2 linked regions of the Drosophila melanogaster genome follow. The protein of the gene in region 2 interacts with the protein of the main gene of each other region in a pairwise test. Each region holds a gene or a part of one and is shown on either strand. Other genes may lie near its edges.

Evidence for each region. The genes of interacting proteins can lie anywhere in the genome.
Region 1: the proteins of Pus1 (region 2) and CG10494 interact in a two-hybrid assay, tested with the Drosophila melanogaster proteins (one large-scale study listed by BioGRID).

Annotation. Positions count from the first base shown.
Region 1 is NT_033778.4:21,514,822-21,522,459, forward strand, and holds CG10494 (uncharacterized protein), read right to left. Parts: upstream 4,305-7,638; 5' UTR 4,185-4,304; coding exon 4,109-4,184; exon of another isoform or gene 4,105-4,108; intron 4,050-4,104; coding exon 3,636-4,049; intron 3,577-3,635; coding exon 3,160-3,576; intron 3,101-3,159; coding exon 2,436-3,100; 3' UTR 2,334-2,435; downstream 1-2,333. Other genes in the region: MESK2 (misexpression suppressor of KSR 2), read left to right, coding at 1,067-1,512; CG30288 (uncharacterized protein), read right to left, coding at 4,514-4,926, 4,994-5,160, 5,218-5,260, 5,323-5,548; CG30289 (uncharacterized protein), read right to left, coding at 5,790-6,298, 6,357-6,581, 6,796-7,012.
Region 2 is NT_033777.3:20,590,524-20,597,890, reverse strand, and holds Pus1 (pseudouridine synthase 1), read left to right. Parts: upstream 1-5,219; 5' UTR 5,220-5,294; coding exon 5,295-5,334; intron 5,335-5,397; coding exon 5,398-5,883; intron 5,884-5,938; coding exon 5,939-6,215; intron 6,216-6,279; coding exon 6,280-6,805; 3' UTR 6,806-6,867; downstream 6,868-7,367. Other genes in the region: bon (bonus), read right to left, coding at 3,847-4,047; Srp72 (signal recognition particle 72), read right to left, coding at 6,933-7,062, 7,121-7,367.

The DNA.
Region 1 (7,638 bases), on a different chromosome or scaffold from region 2:
ACACACTATACAAATATACATACATGACAACGCTATTATATACAAATTACATTACACTAACCATACTCAAGTCGAGAAAAACGATAAACGAAACGAAAATTGAAAAGTGTAAGCTTTTGTTGTATATTTGAGAATTCTAAATAAACGAACGAACAACGTGAATTTCGAACTGTAACGGTGCGGCCAGAGTGATATACTCCTCCGAGATATGAATATATCTGGTGTTGATGGTCCTCTGGCCACTGGGAGTCGCGTCTCTTTCCCACAGCAGCAGCATCGTCGTCACAGCAGCCACATCCAATTCAATCCCAGCAAAGGGAGCTCATCGCATCGCATCGCATCGCATCGATCCGCTCATCGACCATCGCGAAATCTCAGCCCAGCTTCCTTCCCTTCCCCTCCATCTCGTCCATCAACTAGAACAACAACAACAACAAACAACAATAATAATAAAATTTATTAATTATAACGATAATAGAACAACAGCAGCAGCAGATTGTCGCCGCTTTCATCTCGAATCATGCAAAATGCACACCATACACATTACATTCAGATACAGATACAGATACACTTGCAGCTGCGATTAAAATAAGGATAGAGGTAAATTATTTAGATTCATGTGTTGTAAGCTGTTTTTATAGCTTCAGCTAACTAAAGATAGTTTCAAGTGAACTTAGCCTTATTAAACAATATAAAGACTGAATTAAACGATGTAAATTGTAACCATAATCAATGATGAGATTATTGAATACTACATAGTTATCTTTACAATGGACATAAAGCCTTAACTTCCATTCGAATTTTAAGAGTTAAGAGAGTCAAGCAAATCTAAGAATTTTATTTATTTTAATCGCAGCCTTTTGCAAACGTACAGACATCACCACACGTACATACATTTCAAAAACAGCAGGCAAGCCTTTTAGAAAGTGTATAAAGAAAAACACCCATCAAGAACAAGAACCAACAACTTACATGTTATCAAGTGACATAACGTAAATAACAAAAGCCAAACTACTACTACCTTCCCCCCAAAACAACAACAACTCCACTTATAAAACTGCAACAGCAACGCCGCTGTCCACGCCAGCGAGTTCGCCCTGTGGAACTAAATACCACACCTACTCCTCCATCTTCTTTGCCAACTTCCGGGAGCAGCAGCAGCAGGCGATGGAGGAGCGCGATCGTGAGCGGGAAAGGGAGCGGGATCGCCAGCGGCAGCTGAGCCTTCGCGTTGGCAATCGCCTTCGGGAGACGGCCATCAATTGCACCAGCAGCAACTCCAACACCACCGCCGGCCAGGGGGACAATAATAATGCGGATGGTCGCAGCGTCGACGGGGACGACCAGGATCTGGAGAACGGAAACGGATGTGCCGGCGGCAACGGAACAGGAACCGGTAATGGCAACCGAGCCTACGTGACCACGGACACATCGGGCACGCTTTACTACGGCACCCAGAGCAACAAGATACGCATCACAGAGAACCCACTGCCCGAGCCGGTCAGCTCTTAGATTGTTACTGCAGAGTCCACATAATCTCCAAAAGACACCTTGTTATTGTTGTTACCACACACTGAGAAAAAATAATGCAGCAGCAGCAGCCAAGTCAAGCCAAGCTTTCAGCCGTGCTCCAAGAGACACAAAGCCACAGAAACTCAAAGAATAAAAAATATTATGAAATACAAGCAACTCACACACCGCTAGGAAATGAATGCGAATGCAATAATTAACCACCAAATGAGAACCCATTGATTGATTGATTGATTGATTGGTTGATTGATTGATTGTGTTTCCCTATGGTTTTCGAGATGCGGAGAGATATTTGTAATTTACACTTTGTGCCTGAGCGTAACGTAACGAACATACACGTATATATATCAAGCCAGATCGGTTCAGATCAGCAACAGCAGTTTAGTTTTCTATGCCCAATTGATTACATTGTTTTTTTTTTTGGAGTGCAACACATATTTTATGACGAGCTTGCTTAGTTGTTGTAAACCGAACAATATACAAAATATATACATATGTGTATACAGATGACACAAGCAGAACAAAAACTAAAAACTAACGAGCATTTTCGCTTAATGTTAAAACCTAAAACGAATCCAACTGTTAACTTAATCCCAAAAAATAACAATGTAGCATATCAAATAAAAAACGAAAAATCTCTCAAAATTACGTATATACTTATACAAAACCCTAGATAAATCGTAGACAATTGCGAATTGCGAGTAACTTCAAACCAACATTCTGTTCACAATGAATGAGGAATAAATTCTAGACACAGGACACTGTCACAAAAACAGGATACACACACACACACGATATTGAATATAGAATACATACATATAATATATATAAATAATGACAACTTTTTGCAATAACTTCGAATTCAATTCAATAAAAGTTTTAGAAGCTTGAGTTCTATGTTTCCATTACTTCGGTTGCAGCATTTCGCTGATCCTGCGCAGGGTCTCCTCTCGATCTCGATGCATCAGTTCCGATACTTGTTCCAAAAATTGATGCTGCTGCTCGCGTTGCTGCCGCAAGAAGCTTTCGTTGGTAGTTTTGATCTGCGCAAGCAGCTGCTTTTGACCTTCTATGATTGCAGTGAGTGCTTCAATCGGCGTTGGTTCAGCCTCCATCTCGATGGCGTCCACGTAGTCCTCGCTATCGGCTGCCGCTCTTAGGAGATCGCAGGTGGAGCTGGAGTTGTCGCTGTCACTTTCCAGCGGAACGCTTGGTTTGCCTGGCGGCTTGAGAAAGGAAGGCTTGCTGATGCGAATGAGCCTGCTGATGGCACTTTCTCTGTTCTCCCGCGGCGCCTGAATCAGTTCATCGAAAAGCTCAAAGTGGCGAGGCAGAATGCGTACATTATCTAGCCCGTGCTCCTTGGCCTCTCGATGACGCTTGCAGAGCAGCCTTAGTTTATTGCGCAGCTGGTGTGGCGTGCGTTTGATGTCCTGCTTAGCCAGGATGTTGGAAATGTGCACCAGGGTCTGGAAGTTGCGCTTCCTTGAGCCATCCAAGGCGCGAAAGAAACCATTGTCCCGAATGATGAGTAGAAACGAATCAACCTCTTCGTCTGTCCAAAAGTGCGCTAAGGAACATAGGAATTTAATTAAATATGGAATAGGAACTAGCTATTATAATATCTACCTCCGCTTCTCTGTGATGCATCACCCTCTTCCTCGTCACTGTCATTGAAATCACTATCGCTTGCGCTGCTCAGATGGGCTTCCGCTTCAGCATCTGCGGCCGCCTCCTCTTCGGTGGGATCCAGGACCAGTCGCATCGCCTCAAAATGCTCGAACGTTTTCCCCGTGCCGTTCTTGACCTTGTTGTACAATCGCCGCAGCTGCTGGAACTTGATGCGCAGCTTCTCAGCACCCTTGTGGCAGTTGCGTTTTGCCATCTCCTTGGACAGCAGCTTGAAGACCTTGGCATTGCGCTTTTGCAGCAAAGCTGCTCGCAGTCCAAGTGTGTGGATCAGGTCTAGGAGGAGGTCCACTTCGCCCTCTGCCCACTTGCAGCGGGCGACGATGTTAACTGAAGATCCTGAGGCATCCAAAGCATCTGCGAAGGAAAGTCGCCTAAGTTCGTATTCCAATACATTCCTGCCCGGTGGCACCTACCGTCCCCTTCGGTTTCTGAGATCATGCCGGACTGGTCCTCGTCGGCCTCCATATCGCTGTCACTCTCTAGCGCCTCTTCATCCAGATCAGATACATCTTCTCCCTGCATCAACTCGTGCACCGCCTCAAAGTGCTCGAATGGTTCGCCGCCATTCCGAGCTCTCGCATACTGACGCCGCATCTGATGGAACTTGACTCTCAGATGCTTTGGACTCTTGGGGCAGTTCCGCCGGGCCATTTCTCTGGACACCATACGAAACACCTTTGCATTGCTTCGCGGCCTTCGAAGAGCAGCTTGCAGTTTAAGTTGGTGAATGATTTCCAGAAAGGTCTCCACCTTTGCGCTGGTCCACTTGCAGCGACTCGCTTTCCCAGAACTATTTTCCGACACCGAGTGACTCGCATTTCCCAGATCTGTTACGAAAAGTAAGGATTTGGTAACATCGAACCGGCTGAGGACGCTGCTTACCCACTCATAAGGTGTGCGTATTTCTGCTCCGTTTCGTGCTCGTCCTCATCGTTGCCATTGAAGAGCGAGAACTTGCTCATTTTCAAATGGTTATGCTTAAATCGCGCAATGAAATCAATAAATATATATTTATATTTGATCGGTTTTTTTTTAGCTTGATCAAATCATAACAATAACAAAACTGTCATCGATAGTAGGACGCGTTAAGCTACCTATCGTTATCGGCATCGATGCGGCCGTACCATACATTCTGCTCGAATGTATGTTTCATGTAAGGAATATGTATGTTAAATGTAGAAATAGCCTACAATCTGAAAAAAAAAACCAAAACCAACAAGAAACTATGATATTGATAGCCAAAATATATACGCTAAAACATTATATTGTTATTAAGCAACATATTTTGATCTCATTCAAAGTCGTCTGAATGGTTTTGAATAACATCCAATATCCAGTCCGTAAAGTGTGTGACATTGGTGTAAATTCCCAAGCCACTGCACAACCGAAGTCCTTGGCTAGCGACACCGAACTGGAAGACCCTTCCCTGCCCCTCAAATGTACGAATTGCGCTCAAAGGACCTCCCGAATCGCCTTTGCACGAATCACTGATATAACTGCCGGCACATATATAGGATATATCGAGAGGTCTTCCAGGTCTTTCACAACTCCATTGAGGTAATTGTTGCAGGGTGGCAGTCTGTAGCCTATCTTGCTCTTCTCCATCACTATTTGTACCCCATCCGGTGAAATTGAAGCGTAATATTGAGAGTGGGTTCCCACCCAACGTTTTGCCCAGAATCAAGCAGATTGGTCTGACATAGTCTATGGCGAACTTTAGTTAGTTACATATTTAGTTCCCAAGAAACTTTTGATAGCGAAATGCACTTACTTGAGAATATCACACTCCTTTGCATTCGCAACAGACCAATATCATATCCTGGATTACTATGAACAATTTTCCTATCCACGTCCACATTGTAGGCCCTTGGTGTGCAGACAAAATCATCGCAGTCGAATATGGGATGTCGGGTATCGTATTCGCCCAGGCGCACATTCCTTAAAAAAGGTCATTTTGAGGATCAAATGTGTAGTAATAGTATGGTATGCACTCACATATACATTGGGGAAATGCAATGCTCGGCGGTCAAAACAAATCCTAAATGAACATACAATGATAATTTGAGTATATATTTCTTATTATCAATTCCAAATACTTACGAGCAGTTATAAGTGAACCGCCACACACTGCTTTTCCCGAAATCATTACTCTGACCATCCAGGGATTCGATTCCATGCCAGCATCTCTACCTCCATCGATTCGCGCTCTATAACCATTACTGCTCGTGGTTCCACAGTCGTTTTCCAGTAAGCGTCCGGATTCCGTCCGGATAATCCCAATAAAAAGACAGGCTACTATCACAAGCTGCCGTATAGGTAGACGCATCTTGTTCAGAGACTAAATTCGAATGGCATCGGTTTCTATTTTTATGCTTGTTCTTCGGCAAACGGCAGAGATAAGAAGTGATTTATTCAGAAAAAATACTAATACAATTTTTACAATCGATTTGAATGTGACATCGTTTATTTTCAATTAATGACAAGATTTTTTTTTTTTAATTAAATCTCTTGAACTTTAATATATTTCGAACTTCGATGCGTTGCCCTGCCATTTTGTCGAATATTAATTAATTTTCATATACAATTCTGTTATACATTAGTTCTATATTCCTTATTATGTCTGTTATGTTACAAGTTTGGCCTACGAGCTTGGATAACCAAAAGGTAGTATGACCTGTAGGTTTGAATTGAACCATTTTATTAAATATCCATTCCCTGTGGTACGATACATTGGTGTAAACACCTGCCACATTAGCCGCGCACCTTTCGGATCCGTAGCTGACCAAGCCGTACTGGAAACTCAGAAGCCTGTTGCCATAATGAAATTTCGAGCTCAATGGGCCTCCAGAATCGCCCTTACAGGTGTTACTGGTATGACTGCCAGCACATATCTGCGATCGATCAGCCTGTTTGTTGAACTTAATGTTACAGTATGATATATCCATGTTATATAGAGTGGCATTCAGTAGGATCCGACTGAATTGACCATATTCTGTTTCACCCCAGCCGGTAACCGTAAACATTGGAATGCTTTGCATTTGCTCGCCGACAAGAAGGCAAATTGGCCTAACATAATCTATAACGAAAAACATAAAGCTTTAGTCATCCACGTGAGATAAAACCCCTCTATTTACCTGAGTACTCCACAGCTTCGGACATACGAAGCAATGCTATATCATTCTGGAGAGTGATGCCATTATAATTTTCGTGAACAATTTTCATATCCACACTAATGTTGTAGAACTTTGGTATACAGTGATTGTTAAGGCAGTATGGCATGGGATCTAGTGTTTCGTAATCACCCAAGCGCACATACAGATCTTCAAAGGATACGCAGTGCGCTGCTGTCAGGACGAATTCTTAAAAGAAAAATAAATAAATAATAAAAAAATAATAAAATAGTCGACTATCTCGATTATTTATTCATATGCTTTTCAGTTTTTGGGTACATGTAAGTTAAGATATATATATCGTGGACTATGAACTATATTATAAATCTAAATAAATATAAATATATTAATATATTAGTATAGAGTAAATAAAGAATAACCAATGTTTTAGTCAAATACATACGCCGTGCAATAAGAGAGCCGCCGCAGGGCTTACTCGACCAAACCAACACCATCCAAGGATTTTCTTGAATATTTGTTTTGGCTCCTCCAAAAATGTTCGGAACGTATGGATCGTCCTTTGATATTCCACAATTCTCAACCAGCAGGCGCGACATTACGTTATTGTTGGCAATAAATAGGCATACGAGTGCCGCGATTACCGCATTGATCACTTCCATGGTTGCGCGAAGACTGATCGGTGATAGCATATCAACTATTTTCCGTTTGGTGCTAAAAAGTTTAAGCTGTTCGCTTTTTAACAAAAAATTAAATTAACATAATAGAATATATTAATAATATATATATATTTAACAAAACTCTGGCCGGAAGGGCAATTAGCTTTTGAGTTAGGTTAAAAACTAAAATATGTTCATACAATAAATACTAAGTTTGACTTTTTATGATATCGTTAAAAATTATCGGCAATATCGATAGAGTGTTAATTCGTTCCGCAACAAATGGTGTACCAAGTGGGTAAGTGTCATTTTTACCAACGTCAAAAATTGCAATAAGATTTGTAGTTTTTCTGAAATGTCAAAAATGTTAAAGGAGAAAAAATGGTAGTTTCTGGGGCATGCCAACTCGGGCTTTAGCTGCAAAGTAATTGGCAACTTGATTTCCATCGGTGACTGCAACCACAGCATACTGCAACTTGTTGCGAGCGAGAGAGAGAGAGCGAAGTTCGATTCGAACATCGAGCGAAACGGGCAAATCGGTTAAACGGTTCGGCCGAAGCTATATAAGCAACCCGCAATAGCCACTCTGTAAATTTGAAGATAAATTTCAAGCCGGGCTGCCCGTGTTT
Region 2 (7,367 bases):
TCTGCATTTCCCCTCCACTGACAGAAACGCTCTACTTTTAAAGTGGCGTCAGTTCGGTTTCCCTTTGCCACGGCCGCCCGACTGCACCATTTTTGTTGCTGTGCGTTATAATCCGCTTTTTGTGATCGGATTATGTCCTGTGTAGCACCTAATCCCCGCACAGGAGTGCGACCAGCGTACACATGTTGCCAACGAGCACCACTTCCACATCTACACCTACAACTACACCACTCCCATTCCCTTTTTCAGTTCCAATCCGATTCCATCCATCCGCACTGATCCCGCAGTCGCAGTCAACTTTAATTACGCACTGGACGTCGATGGATGGATTAGGGCGGCCTTACGCCCACCGACTGCCCGGAAAAGCAATTAAAATGTGTATATCCTGGATAAACAGGAGAACGTCCCTAAATGGAACCACCTTTCAAGTTATAAAGCTGTTAACATTTTAGAAAAAAACATGTTTTCATGGTTTGTTCCAATTAAACGTTATTAACAATAAGTTCGGAACTGAGAGAGTTTATAAAATGTACATCAACCAAGATGGTTTTTCTCCTAAAAATAACAAAAAGCTATTAATATAAGATTAAAAGTTTATAACAGGTACAAAGAACAGTAGACAGTAAAACAAATATACATATAATCTTTTTTAAAATTTTTTTTCCGAACTCGAAAATAAAACACTAGTAACGAGAATAGACTAGAGCGACCTCTCTTGTTCACTTCAAAAATATGTTGAATATCTATTTTGACATTGAGCGTACTAAATCAGAAAATCTTTAATGCACATATTGGCTTTGACACAATTACCTAGTTTAGAGTATAGAGTATTATTTCTAATCCTAAATTCGTTCAATCGGATCACAAAGGGGATGGTTGACTATAGATGCCATAAAATCCCAGCATTTTAAAATCCCGATGTCTGCATTAATGCCAGGTAGTTCGAGTAAAGTGAAAAGAGAGTCATTTTCCAAGATCTACCCGCCCTTATTTCAGGGTAATCAAGTTAATTAGAAACTTTACTTTTTTGTGCATTTAACGACTTTTATTTTTGGGGGCTGGGGTTTCCTAGCACCGGCGTCTGGCCATCGGCACTTTGCCTTCTCCTCGTTTTGCTTTGCTTGCATATTCTCATCAAATTAAAGTTAATTGTACATCATTAAAGGCGGATTCTAAGAATTCGTTTCGGGTCTCGTCGGTATCTAACACAAAATGGCGTCGTACGATTTTGGGTTTTCATTTATTCCGATGTCAAGCAATTTAATTACAACCTGTCGCATGCATGGGGTAACACACAAAGACATGACTTCATGAATATGTATGTACGACAAGCGTTCGTACATACGTATTTATGGGAGTATTAAATATGGCCTCATGGAGGGTAGGAAAATGCATTTAGGTGCAGTGTTTTTGAGATGACATATGGATGCCCGCCAGCGGCAACCTCCCCATCAGCTGTCACTTTTAATGCCGAAACCCGCCATTTTGACAGGAGCTACAAATGAATAGGTTTCTCTTTTCAGTTAAGCTTCAGTGATTTTGAGTGTTTTACCGAATCGGAAGTATAAAGGTAAAAAAGAAAGTCTCCACAAAAGCAGACCTTGTGTTTATGAATGTATAAAACCTTTCAAGCTAATTTTAATTAAAAACAAATTAATAATCATTTGAGTTTAATATGAGCAGAGGTATCATTGTTTACTATATATAGGAAAAAATTATCCGTGAATTTTAAGTCTTCTCTCTTTATTGAGAAATTCTTATTATGTTTTTCGCCCATAAAAGTTACTTAACGACATCATGTATTCCATGTATTCATGAGTAGGTACAGTTAGTTTTGTGAAGTCATGCATAAATTAGAATAATTTACTCGATGAAAAGGAAAAAAATGCCGTCAAGAGAAGAATTAGCATTCAAATCTAAAGGAAATCTAAAGGATCGCATAATTCTTACTGGATCATAAATAATTCTTTGATAATTCTTTTCATATTAATTATTTAACTATTCCGTGCTTGGCAGTTTCTTAAGTCAGATTGTTTTGTAGTTATGTACATGCATGTATGAAAATCTTTAACAGGATTAATAATCTAAAAGCTATTCCTTTGAAATCCCCATCATCATCCATTCTGAACTCCACACCTTGCCTCGGCGAAGTACTTTCCACTTGATAGTTTGCCCGCATCAGAAATGGGCATTAAGTGATCTGGAGGGGATTCAGGCGGGGGGGGGGGGGGGACTGGGCATGGAGTCTGGGGGTCTTAAGTGCCCCCAACGACCACAGCAAACACAACCGTTTGCATGATTGAGGGACGGATTGAATGAGTGCATGTCATTCCCAATCCCTGGTTGGGGTTCAAGAGAGAGTGGCCACTCCAAAAGGCCCACTCTAGGCGAACATTTATTTGCACGGTTGCAGGAGAAGTTTGAGTCTTTCATACAGTCAGGCTTCCGTAACTAGAAGTATCACATGCCGCATAGAAAGTTAGAGCTCGAATTTTTAATTACATACATGAAAACGTGTTTGTTTTATTTAGCACACATAATAAAATATCGTGACCAATTAGTGTCATCTAAAGCGGTTATCATTTGTGAAAAACATTAATTTTGTTTTATTGTAATCACAAGCCGTTGATTTTAATTCATAATGTTAGTGTTAAATGAAACTTTCAAATTGCCCAATTTACGTTGAAAATAAGGTAGTTATATTCTGTATGTCCCAAAATTATATTGGAAGTTCAGTTAAGGCAAGTTATCTGGCTGTACAGTAAGTAACTAATACAATGAAAATAAACAAAAAGGTGTAAAAGCAATTCAATAATTCTTTAGATTGAAGTAGTTAAAATATTATAGTATTTTTTTATTTTTCAGGACAATTATGTTCAAGCTTTCCACTAGGATGATCTACTTGGGTTCCACTGTAGCTTAAAGAGCAGCTCAAGCACGACGGAGAGCAAACAAAACACAGTAGAGAGCACACACACAACCACACACACTCTATTGCCGCTCATCTGGAGAGTGGCAGCTGCATGTTGCAGCTGATCTGCAATTGCAAGAGAGGGAGACCATCTTGACTTAGCCCTTCCACGTAAGTGAAAGCGAGGTAGCGACTGTCTAGAAACAGCTTGTTTTGCTCGCACTCATAGGGGAATCGAGAACCATCGGCACGAGACCCTAACTCACTACACAGTAAAAAAAAAAATTCTCAATCAGTAAGCTAATAATTAATGTTTAATTTGTACCTTTTTTAATTTAATTAAATTCTTGCATTAAGTTGGTATATTATTTTTCATTTTTTCATATAACAACTTAAAAATTTGTATATTAGAACTAATTTTAAAGTTGATTCAACGTTCGATAACATCACATTTCTTACATCTTAACTGGTATATCCAAGATTAAAACTGCATAGTCATATTAATTTTAAAATAATAGAAAACTATATATACACATATACTGTAAAATAGAGCAAAGTGCACGCCGTTTTTCTCACTGTAAGATCTCGGACTGGGCCGTGAAAGTGAAACACAACAACACTTGCCATTGCGCGCTGTTTGTTTGGTTGTGTGAATACGCTGCTTTGTTTGCCTTGGCCTGGGAAAAAGATAACAAACGCTTTTTGCACGAGACTCGATTCGAAACGCTTGATAAGGAGGACGCAGCACGAGCGCATCAAAATCCAACCAAAACAAAAGTTTACACTGAGCAGACTGCGCAGAGCAGGGGAATATGTGTATTGAGCCGGCTGTTTGTTATCAGCCGCAAGAGCACGTGTGATTAGGCGGCTTTAGCTAACCTCAACTTGGCGTTAGCTTATAGGTAACGAACGCGTGATACGGACTAGCAACATACCCTTTTCTCGGCACTGTCGCAGGGGTTGCTCAGACTCAGCGAAGAGGAGCTCAATGACGAGGTTGTGGGCGCACCGCTGGCCGTGTTTGGTGTGCTCATCTGGGGCAGGGCATCCGTGGGCACGGCATCCAGCTGCTCCTGCTTGATCCCGGCGATAAGCGGCAGGAAGTCGTTCTTTAGCTGCTCCAAATCCATATCCATGTTGGCGAAGTCCTGCGATTTAACCGCGTAGGCGGTTGCTGGCGATCGTTGAAATTAAAACGTGGGCGTGCTAATTATAGCAACTGATTTTTGGTTGACTGACCGACCGACCGAATGTTTCCCTAAAGGCTGTCGCCTTGAAACGGCATGACTATTGCGATTATGTTGCGGTATTATTGTTTTGGAATTAGTTGGGTAGTTAATCCATTCCAATGCTTACACGCACGCACACGCACAAACACACACAGGGCGCGCGCACCAATACACAGGAACTACACGAGAGCAGGCAAAAACAACGATTTGTGCTTGTATGGATGTTCACAAACGATTTTTCGCTGATTCTTAAAGTTTTGTTCGTAGTTGACTCCTCTTCAATTGGGTGGCTAATGCATTTTAATTTCACCTTCGACTTCTGGCTTGCAAAAATATTGGGTTCTCCCTCTCTCTTTCGCACAGAGCGACACAACTTTCGTTTTACTTATACACGACGTTCGCTCGAATTTCGCTGCTATTTTTCGGTCTGGCCGTCGATTTTTCCAGCGATTCGTGCCGCATTTCGTCCATACGCGGCTGCTATTCTTTATTCGCGCTGCGAGCGCGCTCTTAGTGCGGTTTTATTGGCGTAATTCGCTGCGAAAACACACGGTCTCACGGCGTTTGCTCTCGTTGGACGCTTCTTCTGTACAAAAAATGTTCAGCCATTTTGGATTCAATTAATTCATGTCGGCGTTGCCAGTACGACGGCATTTCGAGGGCTGTTACGCACGGCCGTGGAAACGTAAGCAGCTGAGGTCACACTAAACACGCGATCTGGCAATACCACAATTGAATTCGCCGTTCATTTCGTAAAAAATCATATTAATGTTGTAATACATGGTCAAGATGCCATTTATTTACAATTTAAAACTAATAACTTAGCCTGGTATTAAAAGGTTATAGTAAAATATAACATAATTTTTAAAATAAACTTGTAACGTCTTCGTTCTGTTAAGTCATAACGTTACGTAAAGCTTTGAACATTTTTCTCCACACAGCTAATTTAAAACTTAAGTAAATCAAAAGTAGCATTTCGGAAACTCAACTTAATTATTGAGCTAATTCAAAGAACGCGATTTTCGAAAAAAACATATTTGTATTAGCCAAACAGAGCTGTTAAATAAAACAGCTGATCCGTAACAGAGCAAGAAGAAGAAGCACAACCACACGTGTGTGAATTCCTCCACTTTAAATCCAGAATTGTTTACTTAATGTTTTTAAGACGACTTTTAAACGACTACACCAAGGCAGGTTAATTATTAGTGATCACACCTCCAATTCGAGAATTTATAATAATTAATTTTCTTACAATAGTTCGCCTGAAAACCCTTTGCAATCCCTGGAATCGCCACAAATCCTTCGCCGCAGCGATGTCAGAGGCTCTAGATAAACTGGAGGTGGAGAAGGAAGCCAGGAAAGAGGCCAAAGAACTGGAGGGCGAAGCCGTGAAGGACGCCAACCGCATCAAGAGAACACTTAAACGCAAGAAATGGGTCGATTGGAAGGAGCAGGACGAGAAGGATGCCGCCAACGGCGTGAAGCGAGCGCCGTTCGATCCCGCCGACCGGATCAAGCGCAAGAAGAGCGCCATCCTGCTTAGCTACTGCGGTGCGAACTACTATGGTATGCAGCGCAATCCCGGCATGCAGACCATCGAGGAGGAGCTCTTCAAAGCCATGCTAAAGCACAAGTGGATTACAGAGGACAGCTTTGAGCAGATTCAGATTTCCTGTTTCCAAAGAGCGGCCAGGACCGACAAGGGCGTCTCCGCCGCCCGCCAGGTGTGCTCCGTCAAGCTGCGTTAGTTTACTTATTCTATTTTACAAGACAATACTAAACCTATTCCTTCCTGCAGCTGAGGAGCTGGACCTGGAGGCCTTCAATGCCGATCTGCCGCAACAGATCCGTCTGTTTGGCGTAGAACGCGTGACTAAGGGCTTCAATGCCAAGGATCAATGCAATGCTCGGACCTACACCTACACACTGCCCACCGTGGCCTTTGCTCCGTTTGAGGAAAAGGTCGACGACGTGCACGACACCTTCCGGATTTCACCAGAGCTGCTGCAGAAGGTTAAAGAAACCCTGAAGCTCTACGAGGGCACGAAGAACTTCCACAACTTCACCAGCAAGAAGTAAATAAGCCAGGTTTATACTTCATTTCTGCTCCAACTAATATTTTGTTTACTACCCTTGTAGAAGCTTTCTGGATCCTTCGTCCAAGCGCTTCATCATGTCCTTTACGAGCAGCGAGCCATTCCGGAGTCCCCAGGACATCGAATTTGTCACACTTAAGGTTAAGGGTCAGAGCTTTATGCTGCACCAGATTCGCAAGATGGTGGGTCTAGCCATTGCCATTGTAAGGGGGAACACGACGGCGGCCACTTTAGAGCGGGCACTGACGGAGGAGCGTCTGGACCTGCCGATGGCCCCTGGACTGGGCCTCGTGCTGGACACAGTGCACTACGAGCGCTACAACGATCGCTACGGCAAGGACGGCATCCACAATCCGCTGACATGGCAGGCGCAGGAGGCGCAAGTCCAGGAGTTTATCGAGAGGGAGATCTTTAGCCAGATCTATAAGACGGAAGCCGAGCAGCGTAACATGCTCGACTGGATAGGAACATTGCATTATCACTCGTACGACACGCGGACGGAGGACGCGCCTCCACCTTCCTCCGAAGACAAGAAGGTTAAAGGTGGTGATGACGACAATGACGAATAAGATAGATTTTTTTATGAACATTAACAAATAAAATCCAATCAATTTACACTTGTACAATAAGGTAAAATGCAAAAGCGGTTTTTATAATCAGCGTTCGAAAGTATAAAGGCATGTGATCTGTGTCAGTTTAGAAGCGACCGCCCTTCTTCTTTTTGTGGCCACCTTTGCGGTGCTGCTGCCTTGGACCTGGAGCTGTTTCCTGGTAAACGGGTGTGGCGGGGGAGTTCTTGGTCAGATTCACGCGGCTGGACATGTCGCTGTAAAGAAACATTTTAATTAGAACCATTTTAACAATTTACTATCTAACGAGCTTACTATTGATCGGCTGCTCCTGAGGCCATGCCCTGGGAGCCCTTAATGACATCTTTGCCGCGAGCGCCACCTCGCTTCTTTCGGAAGCCTGTGCGCTCGTACTTGGGCAGCCAGCGCTCTGGATCAGGAGCCACTTCGGCGTTGTAGTTCTTGGGGAGCTTGCCCTTTCGTTTACGGTTCCTGTTCTTCTTTTTCTCTAGCGGTGTGCTCGGCGAGGGTTCGACCTTGGTATTGGCAGTCTTCTTGGCCG